Caenorhabditis elegans: one gene and its partner. The protein of the gene in region 1 interacts with the protein of each later gene in a pairwise test. Each region holds a gene or a part of one and is shown on either strand. Other genes may lie near its edges.

What was found.
Region 2: the proteins of C36E8.4 (region 1) and madf-5 interact in a two-hybrid assay, tested with the Caenorhabditis elegans proteins (one large-scale study listed by BioGRID).

The regions. Positions count from the first base shown.
Region 1 is NC_003281.10:4,009,563-4,018,133, reverse strand, and holds C36E8.4 (SH3 domain-containing protein), read right to left. Parts: upstream 5,799-8,571; 5' UTR 5,791-5,798; coding exon 5,647-5,790; intron 5,530-5,646; coding exon 5,363-5,529; intron 5,158-5,362; coding exon 4,641-5,157; intron 4,595-4,640; coding exon 4,475-4,594; intron 4,043-4,474; coding exon 3,902-4,042; intron 3,807-3,901; coding exon 3,681-3,806; intron 3,444-3,680; exon of another isoform or gene 3,423-3,443; intron 3,250-3,422; coding exon 3,115-3,249; intron 2,739-3,114; coding exon 2,586-2,738; intron 2,537-2,585; coding exon 2,393-2,536; 3' UTR 2,360-2,392; downstream 1-2,359. Other genes in the region: tbb-2 (Tubulin beta-2 chain), read left to right, coding at 512-677, 750-1,268, 1,346-1,819, 1,875-2,068; pxd-1 (PSI domain-containing protein), read right to left, coding at 8,521-8,571.
Region 2 is NC_003280.10:14,570,435-14,578,252, forward strand, and holds madf-5 (Alcohol dehydrogenase transcription factor myb/sant-like protein), read left to right. Parts: upstream 1-3,180; 5' UTR 3,181-3,211; coding exon 3,212-3,513; intron 3,514-3,782; exon of another isoform or gene 3,783-3,975; intron 3,976-4,053; coding exon 4,054-4,759; intron 4,760-5,373; coding exon 5,374-5,475; intron 5,476-5,529; coding exon 5,530-5,691; 3' UTR 5,692-6,127; downstream 6,128-7,818. Other genes in the region: C01G12.13 (uncharacterized protein), read left to right, coding at 6,523-6,613, 6,658-6,851, 6,940-7,117, 7,171-7,265, 7,316-7,477, 7,523-7,594.

The DNA.
Region 1 (8,571 bases):
TTCTTCGTCTCCATTCCATACATCCCAAGAGCTGCATGTCTGCTCCTACAACGTCCTTTTGTTTCCTTTTTGGGGTAGCGATTATGAAAAGTGGGCTCATTTTAGAGCAAATAGAAAGGTACTTGCGCTGAAATTTTTATCGAAAGTAGTTAATTTCGGAGTGCAATAAACTAGAATCAACCTATATAGAATAGAAAAGAATCACCAATTAAACATCTCTTATATTTTTCAAGGTAACCTTATTCAACCTTATTCCTAATTCGTCTTTTAATTTCTTATTTTCGCCGTGAATCATTTAATTTCAGAGCACAATAAACTAGAATCAAATCACCAATTAAACATCTCTCAAATTTCAATGTATTAAAAAAACTTACTCCTTTAATTTTAAATTTTTGCCGTGAATCATTGCTTTTCAATATCGACCATGACGTGTTCTCTTTCTTTTGTTATTTTCCTTCATCTTCTCTATCTAAATATAGTTTTTCAATTCATTACGACCTTTTCAGCAAAAATGAGAGAGATCGTCCACGTGCAAGCCGGACAATGCGGAAACCAAATCGGATCCAAATTCTGGGAGGTCATCTCCGACGAGCACGGAATCCAGCCAGACGGAACCTTCAAGGGAGAGACGGATCTCCAGCTTGAGCGCATTGACGTCTACTACAACGAAGCCAACAGTGAGTTTTTAAAATTTTCTGGAGATTTCGAAATCGTTTAGTTGGAATGATTAATTAATTAAATTTTTTCAGACGGAAAGTATGTGCCACGCGCCGTGTTGGTCGATCTCGAACCAGGAACCATGGATTCTGTCCGCTCTGGACCATTCGGCCAGCTGTTCCGTCCTGACAACTTTGTGTTCGGACAAAGCGGAGCCGGAAACAACTGGGCCAAGGGTCACTACACAGAAGGAGCTGAGCTTGTCGACAATGTGCTTGACGTGATCCGCAAGGAAGCCGAAGGATGCGATTGTCTTCAAGGATTCCAACTCACTCACTCTCTCGGAGGAGGAACCGGATCTGGAATGGGAACACTTCTCATCTCCAAAATCCGCGAAGAGTACCCAGACAGAATCATGAGCTCATTCTCGGTTGTACCATCGCCAAAGGTGTCCGACACAGTTGTAGAACCATACAATGCCACCCTCTCCGTCCACCAGCTTGTTGAGAACACCGATGAGACCTACTGCATTGACAACGAGGCCCTCTACGACATCTGCTACCGTACCCTCAAACTCACCAACCCAACCTACGGTGATTTGAACCATCTTGGTAAGTTATTATTTCTTGTTCAAGTTTAAGTTATGCACAAGTTACCCAAATTGAAACCTAATAATTACAATTTTCAGTATCCCTCACCATGTCCGGAGTTACCACCTGTCTCCGATTCCCAGGACAGCTCAATGCCGATCTCCGCAAGCTTGCCGTCAACATGGTTCCATTCCCACGTCTTCACTTCTTCATGCCAGGATTCGCACCACTTTCCGCCAAGGGAACCCAGGCTTACCGTGCCCTTACCGTCGCCGAGCTCACCCAACAAATGTTCGATGCCAAGAACATGATGGCTGCCTGTGACCCAAGACACGGACGTTACCTGACCGTGGCCGCTATGTTCCGTGGACGCATGTCGATGAGAGAGGTTGACGAGCAAATGCTCAACGTTCAGAACAAGAACTCGTCCTACTTCGTCGAATGGATCCCGAACAACGTCAAGACCGCCGTTTGTGACATCCCACCAAGAGGACTCAAGATGGCTGCCACCTTCGTTGGAAACTCGACCGCTATCCAAGAGCTTTTCAAGCGTATCTCAGAGCAGTTCACTGGTAAGAAATTTGAAACTATCATCCAGTATCAGTTTTAAAAACGTTATTTTTTCAGCTATGTTCCGCCGCAAGGCTTTCCTCCATTGGTACACTGGAGAAGGAATGGACGAGATGGAGTTCACCGAAGCCGAGAGCAACATGAACGATCTCATCTCAGAATACCAACAATACCAAGAAGCAACTGCCGAAGACGACGTCGACGGATACGCTGAGGGAGAAGCTGGAGAGACTTACGAATCGGAGCAATAAATGCAAGATCCTTTCAAGCATTCCCTTCTTCTCTATCACTCTTCTTTCTTTTTGTCAAAAAATTCTCTCGCTAATTTATTTGCTTTTTTAATGTTATTATTTTATGACTTTTTATAGTCACTGAAAAGTTTGCATCTGAGTGAAGTGAATGCTATCAAAATGTGATTCTGTCTGATGTACTTTCACAATCTCTCTTCAATTCCATTTTGAAGTGCTTTAAACCCGAAAGGTTGAGAAAAATGCGAGCGCTCAAATATTTGTATTGTGTTCGTTGAGTGACCCAACAAAAAGAGGAAACTTTATTGTGCCGCCAAGAAAAAAGTCTCATTGCCTAAGAGAAACATATGTGGTTGGAAATCTTCCAGATCGTGGATCAATTGAAGAATTGTCATGTTGGCTTATAACGTGCCCAATGAGCCAATCATCTCCTATTCGATCCTCGACAAGAACACATTGACCTTCTCTAATCTTAAAATAATTCAGATTTATAATATAGATCTCAATTAAATAGAGCCACCTCAATCTCGTCAGCATGCTTCGGCTCAAAATCATAAAGAACTCTACAAATTGTCGGTGGACTTGAAGTGGGCTCATCGAAAGTTGTAGTTGTTCGAATAGGACCACCATTTGATGATGTTGTTGTTGTTGAGTAGAAACCGTCGTCGGATATCTGAAGATTGAAAAATGATTACTACTTACATGGGTTTTTCGCGGCAGAAATACGGTACGCGGTCTCGATACGAAAAAGGGTGTTTAATTCGAAGAGGCGTGCGCCTTTAAATAGTACTGTAATTTAAAACTTATTGGTGTGGAATTTTTTATCGATTTTTGATTGAGATTTATTGAAAAACTATGAAAAGAAACAGAATTTATAATTAACAGTAATTTTTAAAGGCGCACGCCTCTTCGAATTTAACAACTGTTTTCGTTTCAAGATTGTATTTTAAGATTGTATAGAAGATTGTATTTTTGGCTTAAAATCGTAAGTTTTTGGTAATATTCGAAGTGAAAATAATTTTAAAATTCGTAATAAAAACTAAATATACCTTTTCATATTCTTCGTACTCTCCACTGCCACGTGGTGACGGATAAGCAGTTGATGCTTCCATTGATAGACAAGGTGGTGGAAGACTGTTATTATCACCGGATAATGGAATTGTGAGAATTGTCATTGGAAGACCCTGTAAAAATGTTTTATTAATATGTTATTCTTCGCCTGGTGCGGAATGGGTTTCGGTACGAAAAAAATTGAAAATTTTGTTTGGCGCCAATAATATGGTACCCGGTCTCGAAACGACACATTTATGTTCAATACAAAAAGCTGTGAACCATTGAAGTGTACTGTAATTAAACTTTTCTTGTTGCCGCATTTTCATCGATTTTTCATAGTTTTTGGAAGAAATAAAAGCTTGAAGCTACAGTACTCTTTAAAGACGCACTCATTCTTGTATTAAACACAAATTTGTCGTTACGAGACCGAGTACCGTTTTTTGTTGAAAAATCACAAAATGTCGTGTCTAAAGACTAGAATTGATAAATTGTTTTATTTTCTAATTTTTTTTCGAAAATCTCATAATTTTATTTGAGTTTTTAAAAATTGTAAAAAGCTTACCGATTTATCTTTAATCTTATGTTGAAACCTGGATAATCTGTGAAAACCTCGATTTTGACCTCCATCCACAATATTTATTGAATCATTCAACTTGTAGTACAGATATTCGATGAATTCCAAAACGCTCTGGAATTATTAGATATTCTGGTTTTTCCTATTGTTTTCAATTAAAAAAATGAAAATAGGCATAAAGTAGGCATGCATTCTTTCCAAAAACCCACAATTTGCTTTGAATTAGACACCATAACGTCAGCTGTCTGATTGTTGTAAAGTCTCTTCAATTCTGAATCCAATACTCCTGAAACTCGTTCAAGATTCTGACGGCGTCGTGTCGAAGACATGACTTCTCCGAAATTTTCAGCCTGAAAACGAAAAAGTAATATAAATTTATTTTTGAACAATTGCAATTTCGAAAAAAATGTTTTGGAAAAATGGCAAATTCAAAAATGTTAGAGTTTTTCAGTTAGAAGGTTATTATCCAGACGCAAAATGTTGCGATTTTTCCGCCAAAATACGGCTACTGGAGAAATTTTTGTTAATAGAGAAAAAGTGTGTGTCTTCAAAGAATACTTGAGTTTCTGTGGAGTTGTATATTATTAGATAGATTTAGATTTTCTGTTTAGATAGATCTTTGATAAACTTAAATATAACAATAAAAACACATAAAGTTTCAACAAATCGTGAGAAAAAACTACAGTACTATTTAAAGGCGCACACCTTTTCGGCCGCCGATTTTTTCTTCTACCACGGTTGCTCCGTGCTCTAGGAAAGTAATTCCCGTAGAAAAGACTTACATGAAGATCAATCAGGGTAATATGATTGACAGCTGAAGTTGATGGTTGAATAGTTTGAATATAATCCTCCGGAACAGAATCTACCGCAAGTTCAAGATTATTCGAATGCCTTTCAAACATCTGAAAATAAAATATTGACTAATTTCAAAATTTCACTTTCCCTAACTTGTCTCAAATTCGGTCCCAACGTCTCAATCTTTCTCTTATACCGTCCCAATGCAGTTTGACAATGAGCTAATCTCTGTCTCTCCACTGATTCCATACTCTCTACACCTTTTCGTAACACATTTTCAGTCATTCTTCTCTGCTTTTCCAGATCAACAGTCTGCCATACATAATCATCTTCACTTCGAATCATCTGATCTTTGTACTTTTTCCGGCGAAGTGCAAACTTCTCCGGTTGAGCTTTTTCTCGTTCAGCCGAGTTTTCAGTCTTTTCAAGCTCTTTCGCCAACACGTACAGACTTCGTTTCATTTTTTGAGTTTCATCTTTCTTATCCTTCAATTTTCGAATTTCTCGCTCTACGAAATTGTCGGCTGCTCGAATAGTTTTTTGCTGATTTGATTGAATTGATCTAAGAGGTTGTATGATATCTTCAGTGATTGCAGATCCTAAGTTACTGTGAATAGTAGCATGAATATCAAATTGTTCTGCCACATTTGTCCAGCCTTTATCGATACCTCTGAAATAAGATATTTTGCAAATTTTTGAATGTATGTATGCCCCTTTAAAATATAGTCTTTTTTTAAAGACACACTATAGTTTCCATCAATTTTTTTGAAAAATTGTTAAATTCTGAATTACCAAATTAAAAAAATCAAATCCTTGACTTTCTCGCCAAAATATTTTGAACAAATTATGCAATTTTGAATTTAGCATCTACTCACGATTCAACGCTTTGTGTCAATTTATGCAACCGAATTGATATCTTTTTCAATGTTTTCGAATAATGAAAATCAAGCGCTGCTTTCTCTTCAAAAGCAGTCACAACTTCGGCAAGTAACTCGTTATTGTTGCGAATCAGGTCTCGTAGTTGCCGGAAATTGCTCGGTGTCTGCAAAGAAATTTTGATGTTGGCAGGTGGCTTGTTTGATTTTCTAAGAGCATTGCATACACAAATAATTGAAACACGGTAAATAATTCATGTGATCTTTCGAGGAAAAAAACTTACAGCAAACTTATCTACTAATGTAGTATTTGACATAGTTGGCAAGTCAACAAGTCCATTAAGACTATTCTGTCGGCTCAATGAGCTGTTCAACTGAAATACACTGCGGGATATACTCCGGCGAAGTTTTGACATTCGGGAGTTCATTTTGATGGCTGGAATGAAAATTATAAACGTTTTCAGGTAATCTAGTTGAGACAAAAGGTAATTCAAGTAGGTATAAAGTAGGTGGCAAATGAGTAGGAATATAGCCAAGTAGGCAGGCGTGTAGGCATAAATCCTTGCCTACCTTACTATTACTTAAAAGTACAACAAAGACAAAATAATTCTTGGTTATAATTTTTCAATTTTCACAAAAAAAAAAGAAAACACCTACGAAGAATTTTGTGTCAAATAAACTGAAACCTTTTCAAAAAGCATGGTTCAATAAACTCTCCGAGCAAAAATATTGAACCGGAAACAACTTTTTTCTCAGGAACTTCTCGAAAACAGCAAGCTTTTTCTTAGATCGAATTTTAGTGCATTACTTTACACAACGTATAGGTTTTCATAGGCCCTTTCACTCTGGGACACCTGCTAGATGTTGTTAGTCACCAGTAAAGAATGAGGGCTTTTTTGCAAAAAAAATTATAGGAAAGCAGAAAAAGCAGAAAAATGTGAACATTAAAATTTATATGATGAGTTCAATTCAAAATCTGTCTTCAAGGCGTCTGATTTGTACATAAGAACTTTCAAATGAAGAAAAAAAAAGGAAATATGCAAGTAGGTAGGCATGAAAAATTACATGCCTACGGAAAGCGATAAAATCATTGACAGGAAAAATTAATTTGAACAGAAGAAAATTGGTCATCGGAGGTCATCACTATCGCAAGTTTAAATCGATTAAGGTCACATTGGAGAGGGATGATGAATTGTTGAAAAATAGAAAAATAGATTGTAAATTTGGAAATAAATTAGAGAAAAATTGTTATTAATGAGGATTGAACATTAGATAGCGGAATTACTGTATATTCCTTATTGCATTCCTTTCTCAACTTTGACAGCACATAATTTAATTGCTTTTTAACTTATCAAAAAAATTTTAACTACAAAAAAATAGAAAAATAGTTAATACGTATTTTTTAGTTAGCAATTATTTGAAAAAACCAATAGAAACTGAGATATGTATACACTGTCAAAATTTCTAAAAGTAAAATCAATAAATGAATATTTTCAAAACCAAAAAATGGGCACGTCGTGGGCAGTTAGAATGAGTCAGCTGGAAAAAATCGGAAATTCAATTCTTATCATTTAGTTCTGCATTTTTTTTTGTGATAAAATTGGAAACAATAAAGTCACAGGTAGGGAGTAGAATTGTGATGGATGCGATATGACATGTTTGTTCACTCGAATAAAAGTAACCAAACATATAATATTTGATATTAAAAATTATTTAAAGTAAATATCCTGCTTGTATATTTGTCATTTTTGAGTTTATCAAAAAATGTTTAACTTTGAAAATATAGGTAAAGATTCAAGCTACAATATATCAGTTGAAAGCATTTTTGGTAAAACCAATGAGAACCGAGGTATGAGATGTTAAAGTTGAATGGAAAAAAAAACAAGTAACATGTCGGCTGCTGGAACTTGACGCAACTTTAATGACACTTTAGGTTTCCTAAAGCCTTCTCTAACCCTCCCTAATATCAAGTTGAATACTGGAAGACTCGAATACCAGTCCAAGTACACACATCTTACATAACAATAGTAGTTACGTTCATGACTAGACACCTTGCATGACAGACGTGCAAAACCAATTTGAATGAACACAAAAAACTATGGGAACTGATTGAATTTCTTTGCGGGAGAAAGTTTGGTAGTACTGTTACTGTTTGTGGAAGTTAGAGATTTTGCGCGTAAAATGTGATGTATCAGCAAGGCATCATACTTGACGCGCAAAACTCAAAATTTTTTTTGGAAACTAGATAACAGGAAGACTGATTCAATTGGAAATCGGAAACCATTTGGATAGGGTGGGCATCTTGGGCGCTGGCTTGATGAATAGTAAGTGTATGGTCGGAGGGGACCCGCCGGTTGTGTCGCAGTAGAGTGCGTTCTTCCAAACATCTCTGCGTCTCCTACACCGATTGACACTATCTCGTCCGGCTGGATAGCGGCTTGAGCGTCGGGGCGGCATTGCCGGGTTGGGGAGAGAGAGAGGCACCCGTGTGAGAGAATAGGGTGACAGAATGCAATAACTGTGTTGTTGTGTTGTTCAGATAATTCGTTGCCTAACGGACAGACGGTTTCAATCGGAAACTGTCATGATTATCTTCTCTGTCAACAACAAGAACTTCTCCATCACGACGGAATCTTACGGTCATTGTCTGTAATAGATTTTATGATGCTAATAATGTTAATGGTAATACAGTCAACTGATGGAATAGATTGAAAAAAGCTGTTTTAGAAAACGAGCGACCTTTGTTTTTTCTTCGAAGAAATAATGACAATCCTGGTATTTTGAACGTAGGCAGGCATAGGCTGTGGATAATTTTGTAAATATTTATTGCAATAGAATTTCTATATTATGCGTTTGCAAAAACCTTTCAAAACCTTGTGAAAAAATGCTGAATAAACCAGAAACAGGTCATATACAAGCTCTAAGAAAAGGACACTTTGGTGCAATATAATATAATTAAATATTTCTATTTTTGATCTTTGTGAAGAGGAGGAGGAGATCAGATGATTATAAGCAAACAAAATTCAAATTAAAAAATCAGGAAAAGAAAGAAAAACGATTAGTGATAATTCGATGGTAGGTCACCAGTGTGAAACTCGTTAAATTTTAAAGTGTTGTGGTGGGAATTCTAGAAGTCCAGAGCTGAAACTTCTGGAAGTTTACATGTGAACTGAAGCACTGTAGCGAACGTGGCTGCTTGGGATGTGCCA
Region 2 (7,818 bases), on another chromosome or scaffold:
CAAATTTTGTCTTGATTTGTCTTATTAAAAAACCATTTAAAAAATTCTGATTAGTAAGAATTTTCTTCTGAAATTTTTTAAATAAGAAAATTAGAAATTTCAAAACTTTAGCGCTTCAATTCCCTCCTGAACTCTTCCCAACTTACCTTCTCACCACACACAAACATATTTCTTTCAAAAACTGTCTCTACGACCCATTGTAATGTCTAAGGTTTACTTTTCACCAATTTTTTTTCTCAATGTCCTCAAATTCTCCACAATAATCTTCACTATTTACCAAATGTTTGCGTAACCCCAACGGCACCGCCGGTTTTCCGTTCCCCCTTCTTTTTCAATTGTTTGCCATTTACTGTAAGAGCTCGTGGGGAGCTTGGTTACTAAGTTAGAGAGTGTGGAATTCTGAGAGACACAGAGGAATACTGCTACTGCTCTCTTGCTCGTTTTCAACCGAAAAAGCTGGCTCGGCACAGGGAGGAGAGCTCACCAAACTTTGACAGTTACCCCCTTCCCGATTTTTCTCCCAACTTTACTTACTGCATTCGAGTTTTTTGACGCCTCCCTCCTGACAAGGGAGTCACGTAGGCATTGAATTTTTTGGAAAATTTTTTAATTTAATTTTAATTCGAATTTTGGGAAACATTTCTGATTTTTGTCTGAATTTTTAAAGAGTTTGCTGAAAAATAAATCTTTCAGTTTTTCTGAAAAAATTAGTATTTATATTTTTTGGAAATTTTCAAACTTTTATTAGAAAATTACAAGCTTTCTATCGAATTTTCGATTTTTAAAGGATTTTTATCCGGAATTTTATAAAGTTTCACTTTTGATAAATACTGAAATAACAGGAAATTTCATTTCTCAAAACATCGGTAATTTTTGAATAATTTTTTTTAATTCACAAAATCTCCAATTTTAGAAATTTTTTAAATAAAAGTTTATGTTTAGAAAAGAACTAGAAAATTAAACAAATTCTGAGTATTTAGGAAACAATTTTTATTCTCAAAAAAAGAACGAAAGTTTACGAAAGTTTCACAAACACATTTTCTATAATTTTTTAAAATACTTAATTTTTTTTCTTTGGTCCAAGAGCAGGTATCTGAAATTCCTTTGATATTTTGAAGGTAAATTCTAATTCCGAAATTTTAAAAATTTTCTGAAACTTTGAAGTCACGCCATGGCCGATTTTTATTTTTATTTTCGCGGTCACCTGCTCCTAAAAGCATAAAAATCCGGAATACCCAAACCGAAATCTGAAAAAACAGAAACAAATCAAATCAAATCACTCTAAAAATGTGTTATCATAGTCGAATGTTGTGTTAAACGTCTTCGATCCCCGCCATCCCATTCCGCCGGTCTCCACCACCTCTGCGTCTATCGCTGCTCCACACTATTTTGCCCCTACCCCAGCTTCAGTTCGGATGTCCGCAATCCGGATTTTGTTCGTTTCCTTCCTTTTTCGGGCGGATCAACGGCTTCTTATCTGATATGATTCGGTTTGAAGGAGATGAAGATGGTTGTGTTGGGGGAAGAAAAGAAGGAGAAGCCTAACCGGGGGAGATTGTCAGCCAGCCACCCCCTGCTGAGATATTGTGTTTAATGACATTTTCCATTTTTCCCGAATTATCTATTTTTACAACAATCCATACCTTTTTATCAGATTTTGCTAAAGTTTTGCCAACTTTCGCCAACCTTCGTTAGACATTTGTCAACTTTCAAAAAGCAATTGCAATAGTTCCAAACTGCTGCTCAATTTTTGACCAACTTTTTTGAATTGTTTCTATACTTTCAATATTTTTTAAAAACAACTTTCGCGAACTGTCGCTAGACTTTCGGCAAGAAACAACTTCTTCTGAATCTACGACAATTTTCTGCAACTGTTATCAGATCTTCGACATTTTGAGCAACGTTTGCCAACTTCTGTTAATTTTTTCTAGACTTTCAGCAATCCCCGCAAGGTTTTTACGAACTCCGACCAACCTTCGCCAAAATTTCATCAATTTTCACCAGTGTTTTTCAAGAAGTTGCGTTTTTCTCAAACTTGTGGTAGATCTTTGGCAGACTTTTGTTCAATTTCAGTCTATTTTAACTTTCGCTATACTATCACCAATTTTCATCAACTTTGTGCAACTTTCGTCAACCAATTTCCCTCTAATTTTCATTCCCAATTCCGCTTAAAGCTTCAACTAAAAGCAAAATAAAAAACCGAATATCCCCCAATTTTCCAATTTTCCTGCACCGGAAAAAACATAGAGCTTCTTCCCCTTCTTCTTCTACTCCATCTCCACCCACACATACTACCGGTTCTCCTAGATTTTCAGTCTAAACCATTTCAATTGTGTCTTACGGTAGTTTATCATGAGATTTAGATGGAATTGAAGAAGAGAGAAATGACACGAAAGAGTGTGTAAACTTTTTATTACATTTTGGAAGACTAACCATGTCGTAGTACACACTCAGGCTTTTTGGCTTTTTGTGTCTAGATTCCTCTGCATGATCTACAGAGATTTTTTTGGCAGATTGCCAAAATTTACTTAAATTTCTGACAAAAAAATTAAAATATTTTTTTAAAAAGATTTTTGTTTTAAAGTACTAAAACGTAACCTTCTGCAATTTCAGAAAGTTATAATCTAGATTATTAAAAAATCTCACAATTTAAAGTTTCCAGAAAATTTTTAAATCTGAAAATGATTTTGAAAAACAATTCGGCATTCGACAAAATTAATGTTTTGATTTAAATTTTTTTGAAATTCTCTTTTTTAAAAGTACCAGTTTTCAATATTTTGTTATCAGAAATATTTCAGAAAAATTTTGATTTAAAAAACATTAACTGAAAATTCAAAAAATATTTTTTTGTGTTGATTTTAGAAATTTTAAGATTTTTTAAAATTGGGTTTTGCAAATATTAATCTTTTGAAAATGTTTTAAACAAAAATTAACAATTTTTTAATATGAATATTTTAAAATTTCCCTTTAATTACACAATTTTTTCTACATTTCTCCAAATTAAAATAGTTAAAAGAATAATTTTCAAAAATAATTCAACATTTGAAACAAAAAACGGATATATGTATATATATATATATATTCTTATGTCTTATTTCCTTTTTTCCATTTCTAGATTATCCCAGCTTCTGACTCCCCTTAGCCTTTTTTTTCTAAAAATCTCAAATTTTTCCGTTTCAGACCCCTTCTAAATTTAAATCCACTCAAACAGATGGCCTTCCAGCCGGCGTTTAACGCCCGTCTGATAAACGAGGTTCGTAAGTACCCGTGCCTATATAATCATTCACGACGTGGCAGCGGGGACACAATGGAACGTCAACGACTTTGGGAATCAATCGCCAAAAATATTGACCCGAATTGTGCGGCAGAGTTTGCGAAGAAACGATGGTTGCAGCTGAGGGATCGATATCGGAAAGAATTAAAGATTGCAATTAAAAATGGATTTGTGACACCTGTTAGATGGTGTTATTTTAATCAATTATCGTGGTTGGACCCGTTTTTGAAGGATAATATGTAAGAATTGAATTTCATAATTATTTTTCAACTCGTTTTTTTCTGGCCATCACAAAGCTAATTTTTTAATATTTTTTCTAATATTTTTTTGTTGAAAAACCGCGAAATTTTTGGTTTGTAGGCATATCAAAACAAAAAACTGAAATTTAAAAAATAAGTTCACCTAATTTGAAATATATCTAAAGAGTCTAAATTAACACTTCAAAAATTCAGAAAAAAAAATTTGAAAAATCTCATTAAAAAATCAAAAGTTGTAGATAAAATCAAATTCAAAAAAAAACTTCAAAAATACTAAAACATTTAATTAAAATTCCAGAATTCTTTTTTTTCTTAAATTAAAAATTATAAAAATTAAAAAAAAAACAATTTATCGACAAAAAACTGATCGATTCGAAATTTAATATTTTGAAAAAAAATTAAAATTTTCTACAAAAAATTAATTCAAGATATATCAAAAAGAATCTGAAAAGTAAAAAATAATAATTTAGAACTCCGCGATTATAAGTTAAAATTCTCATCTTCAAAGTCTATTTTTTGCAGTGGTCAAGCAGCAGATGAAGGCAAAAAAACTGGTAAATCTGACTCTTTTGATGAGCCATCAGGCACACCGTTCAGCTGGTTCGGTTTTCCAAATTTAAATTCAATAAAAGACGAGATGGAAGATGATGATAGTGATCCAGCACTCGAATCTTCGGTTTTAGACCGACTACTTGCACAAACCGCCCAACGATTGGACAGTATATCCCCTGAAATTGAAAATGATGAATCTGGAACTCAAAGTCTCGATGGAAATCTAGATGGAGTTGATGGGGATGGAGATGAGGAGGAAGATCTTAAAATAAAAGATGAAGATGAAGTAGAGGAAGATGGCCCAGAAAAGGTGAAAAGTCAATCCGAAGCTATGGCGATGCTCAAGGAGGCTATAAGTGCTCAGAGCCAACAGCAGACTCAGCAGGCTCAACAGGTCCAGCAGGTCCAACAGACCCCACAGAAACCATCAGTGGAGTCCCTCATAGCAGCGAATCAGGCTAGATTTGCACACCATCTTGCTGCACAGCTCACTGGGATGAGTTCAATGCTCAATGGAGCCAGGAAATCCGAGGAGGCAGCGATCCCGCCGCTCCGACCTTCAACACCACCGCCAACCGCGTCCACTACGAGCCACTTCCATCCTTATAAAGAGGCGGCGAGGAATAGGCATAGGCAGCAGACTGCGGATAATGTTATGAGATATCATTTGCAACAGGTGAGCGGGTTTGGAACATTTGGTAAAAAAAATTTTTTTCGGAAGGATCGTGATTTTCCTGGATTTTTTGGAGATTTTTGATTTTTTTAAAATAATTTCTCTGAAACTTTCTTAAATTAAAAAAAAATTCTAGATTTTTTGTAAAAAATATTAGATGCGATTGAAAATAGTTTGCTGAATTCTTGGAAACTTCGGATTTAGTTCTGTTTTTTTTAATGTTACCTTTTTTCGGAAAATTTAGTGATTTTCAAGAAAAAATGTTAAAGTTAAAAAATTTTTTAATGAACTTTTCGGAATGATTTTTTGAAGGTTGAAGTGTATAATTTTCAGAATTTTTTTTTGGTTTTCTGAATTACATTTAATTACTTTCTAGATTATTAAAATTTAATTTTTATTAAAAAAATATATTCGGAAACATTTTAAGTGTTTCTAGTTAAAAAAAATTTTTCGAATTTAAATATTTATTTCAAGTTTTAAGAGATTTTTAAATCGAAGTTTCTGGATTTTCTTACCAAAATTAGGATTTTTTCTCAGCAAATTTCAAAAATTTATAACGTGTTCCTACATTAGAAATTTTAAGAAAGAATTTCTAGAATAATATAACTTTTTTCCAGGTCGGTCGGGTTGCTCTTGAATGGCTCAATGATGAGGATTTATTGTACAGCCGGATAATTGGGTTGAAGCTTAAGAAAATGGACCCGAAAAAACGGAAAAAGGTGAGAGATTGTTTTCAGATATATTCAACAAGTTCAGACTCCAACTTTTTTCAGGTCCGTCACCAAATAATGTCACTACTGGACGAAACCGATGACACCCACCATATTGTAGACAATGATGACTCTTGTAGCAGTCCATCAGCACATAGTCCAACCGGAGAGCACGATGAAGATTGCGCAGTTGAGCCAACGGCAAATGAAATTCCAACGGCTTGAAAATTAGTCTTTTGTTTGTAGTATATGGGTCCCCCCCCCCACGAAAAAATGATTTGCGCCTTCAAGCTAAAATGCAAAAATATGCCTGATCGGTTTAAAAGGCGCATAATTTATTTTCGTGTCGAGACCTAAATTCTGGTAGGCTACTGTAACATTGAAAAAACACTTCCTTTATTTTTCAAAATATCTATTTTGTGTTTTCTTATTGGTGCTCTCCTCATTTTATTAAATGTAGAAAACGAAAAATGTTCAAAAACTAGTTTTTAGTGTATTCTCACTCCCCGTCGGTCTAGTCAGTGCGCAATTCTTTCACTTTTCTTTTGTTCCCTCCATAATTTCAGCATTTTTTTTATTTTTTGAAATTAGTCTCTACAAACACCATCATCTTGCCTGTATATTTTTGTACCACGATTTTTTTATAATAAACGTGTATTTTTTGGTTTTGGACAGAGCGCGTGCTCCCTCCGACTCGCGGATTCTGAATTGTTCTGTGTATTTTGGAGATTTTCCTGAAATTGTTAATTTTTGGAGAAGAAGGAATTTTTATTTGCTAGACCTTTCTGGAAACAGCTAGATAACTCTAGTTTTTTAAAGGAGTTTTTAAAAAACTTCCGAAAATTTTTTTTTTTTTCAGAAGTTCTTGCCCAAATATTTCAGACATTTTTCAGAAGTTTTATCATATCAAATATATTTTGTAATTTTTCCCACATTTTTTCCAAAAATTTCCTTCACGTGAACTTCCACAATTTCAACCGATAACATCTTCCATGCAAAATGAATTATTTCCAACAATTTGTTTCAACTTTCCAACCGGTCAATTAAAGTTGCACAATGTATCAATTATTATTCTACAACGTCATCTGCGCGATCATGTTTTTCATGACTATAACCTCAAATTGTCTGAAAGGGAAACCGAAAGAGGGCAGGTTAGGATTAATGTTTCTAACTAAACGTGGGAGATTCCAGAGCCAAAGAAACCCCCAAAAGTGATACCAATCCGTTACGAAACCGATCCTGCCGTGCTGGAGAAGGAGCGGAAGATGAAAATTGCAGAAAATCGGGAGAAAATGCGAAAAAAGAGGGAGAAACAACAACAACCACAATTCGAAAAGGCTGTGGTGGAGACTGTTGTTAAAAGGGAGGTGGATCAGAAGGAAATGGTAATTCTAAATAGGGACGGACCCATCGCTGCGATTTTCAAAAATATTTGCAGGCTTAGTAACTAGCATACAGTGATCCATTTTTCAGAAGCTGGAAGATGTAACGCAACCTTCAGCATCTATCGAATCCAACGAGCAGCAACCATCGCAAGATACCAAGAATTCGCAGCCGAGTGAGGATGAGAAGGAGAAAAAGACCAGAACTTTGACTGTGACGGACGAAGATCTTGGCAATGTGAAACTGGTTGAAAATGATCCGGATGGTGGTGAGCACATAGATTTTTTGATTTTTTGATGGATCCTAATTATCAGGTTACAGGAAAGAAGCTGAAGCTTGTTAAAAAGCAAGCTCGTGAGCAGGCCAAGCAGAAGGAGCTGGAAGAGCAACTGATTCGCCAGATTCAAAGATCGGAGGTTATTTTATTATTTCGAGTTTCCATTATCTTATTTTCAACTATTTCAAGTCACGTCAAAGCCCAGACGACACAATGAAAAATGTTTCTTCAATCCAATTTGAGTCTCAAAATTCGCATATTCAACGTAAGAAGCAACAACAAGAAGCTGCGAAAACGGTCATCGATACGGTGTCAATTGAGTCACAAATGATCAGAGATGCTACTTTGATTGTAAGATTCAGGGGAAACGTAGAATTTTAAAAGAAACTTATTTAGGAGCCCAAGTCCAATGAGTTGTATGTCAAAGAGCTCACCAAGAAAATTTTGGAAGAAAAGGAGGAAGATTGATCTTTTTTGAATTACAATAAAGTTTTCTCGCCTCCAAAATCAAAAAAGAGCCGCTATTTGCTCTTGCGAGCATTTTTTTCCGGAATGATCATTGGTTTTATTTGCATGAACCAAGTGGCAATTGTTACTATTCTCTAAGCCTTCATGTGCCAACAATGTAAATAGAGTAGTACTGGTTATTCTAGGGTTTTTTTTTGGGTTTCTGTCTTGTTAGATTTTGGTAT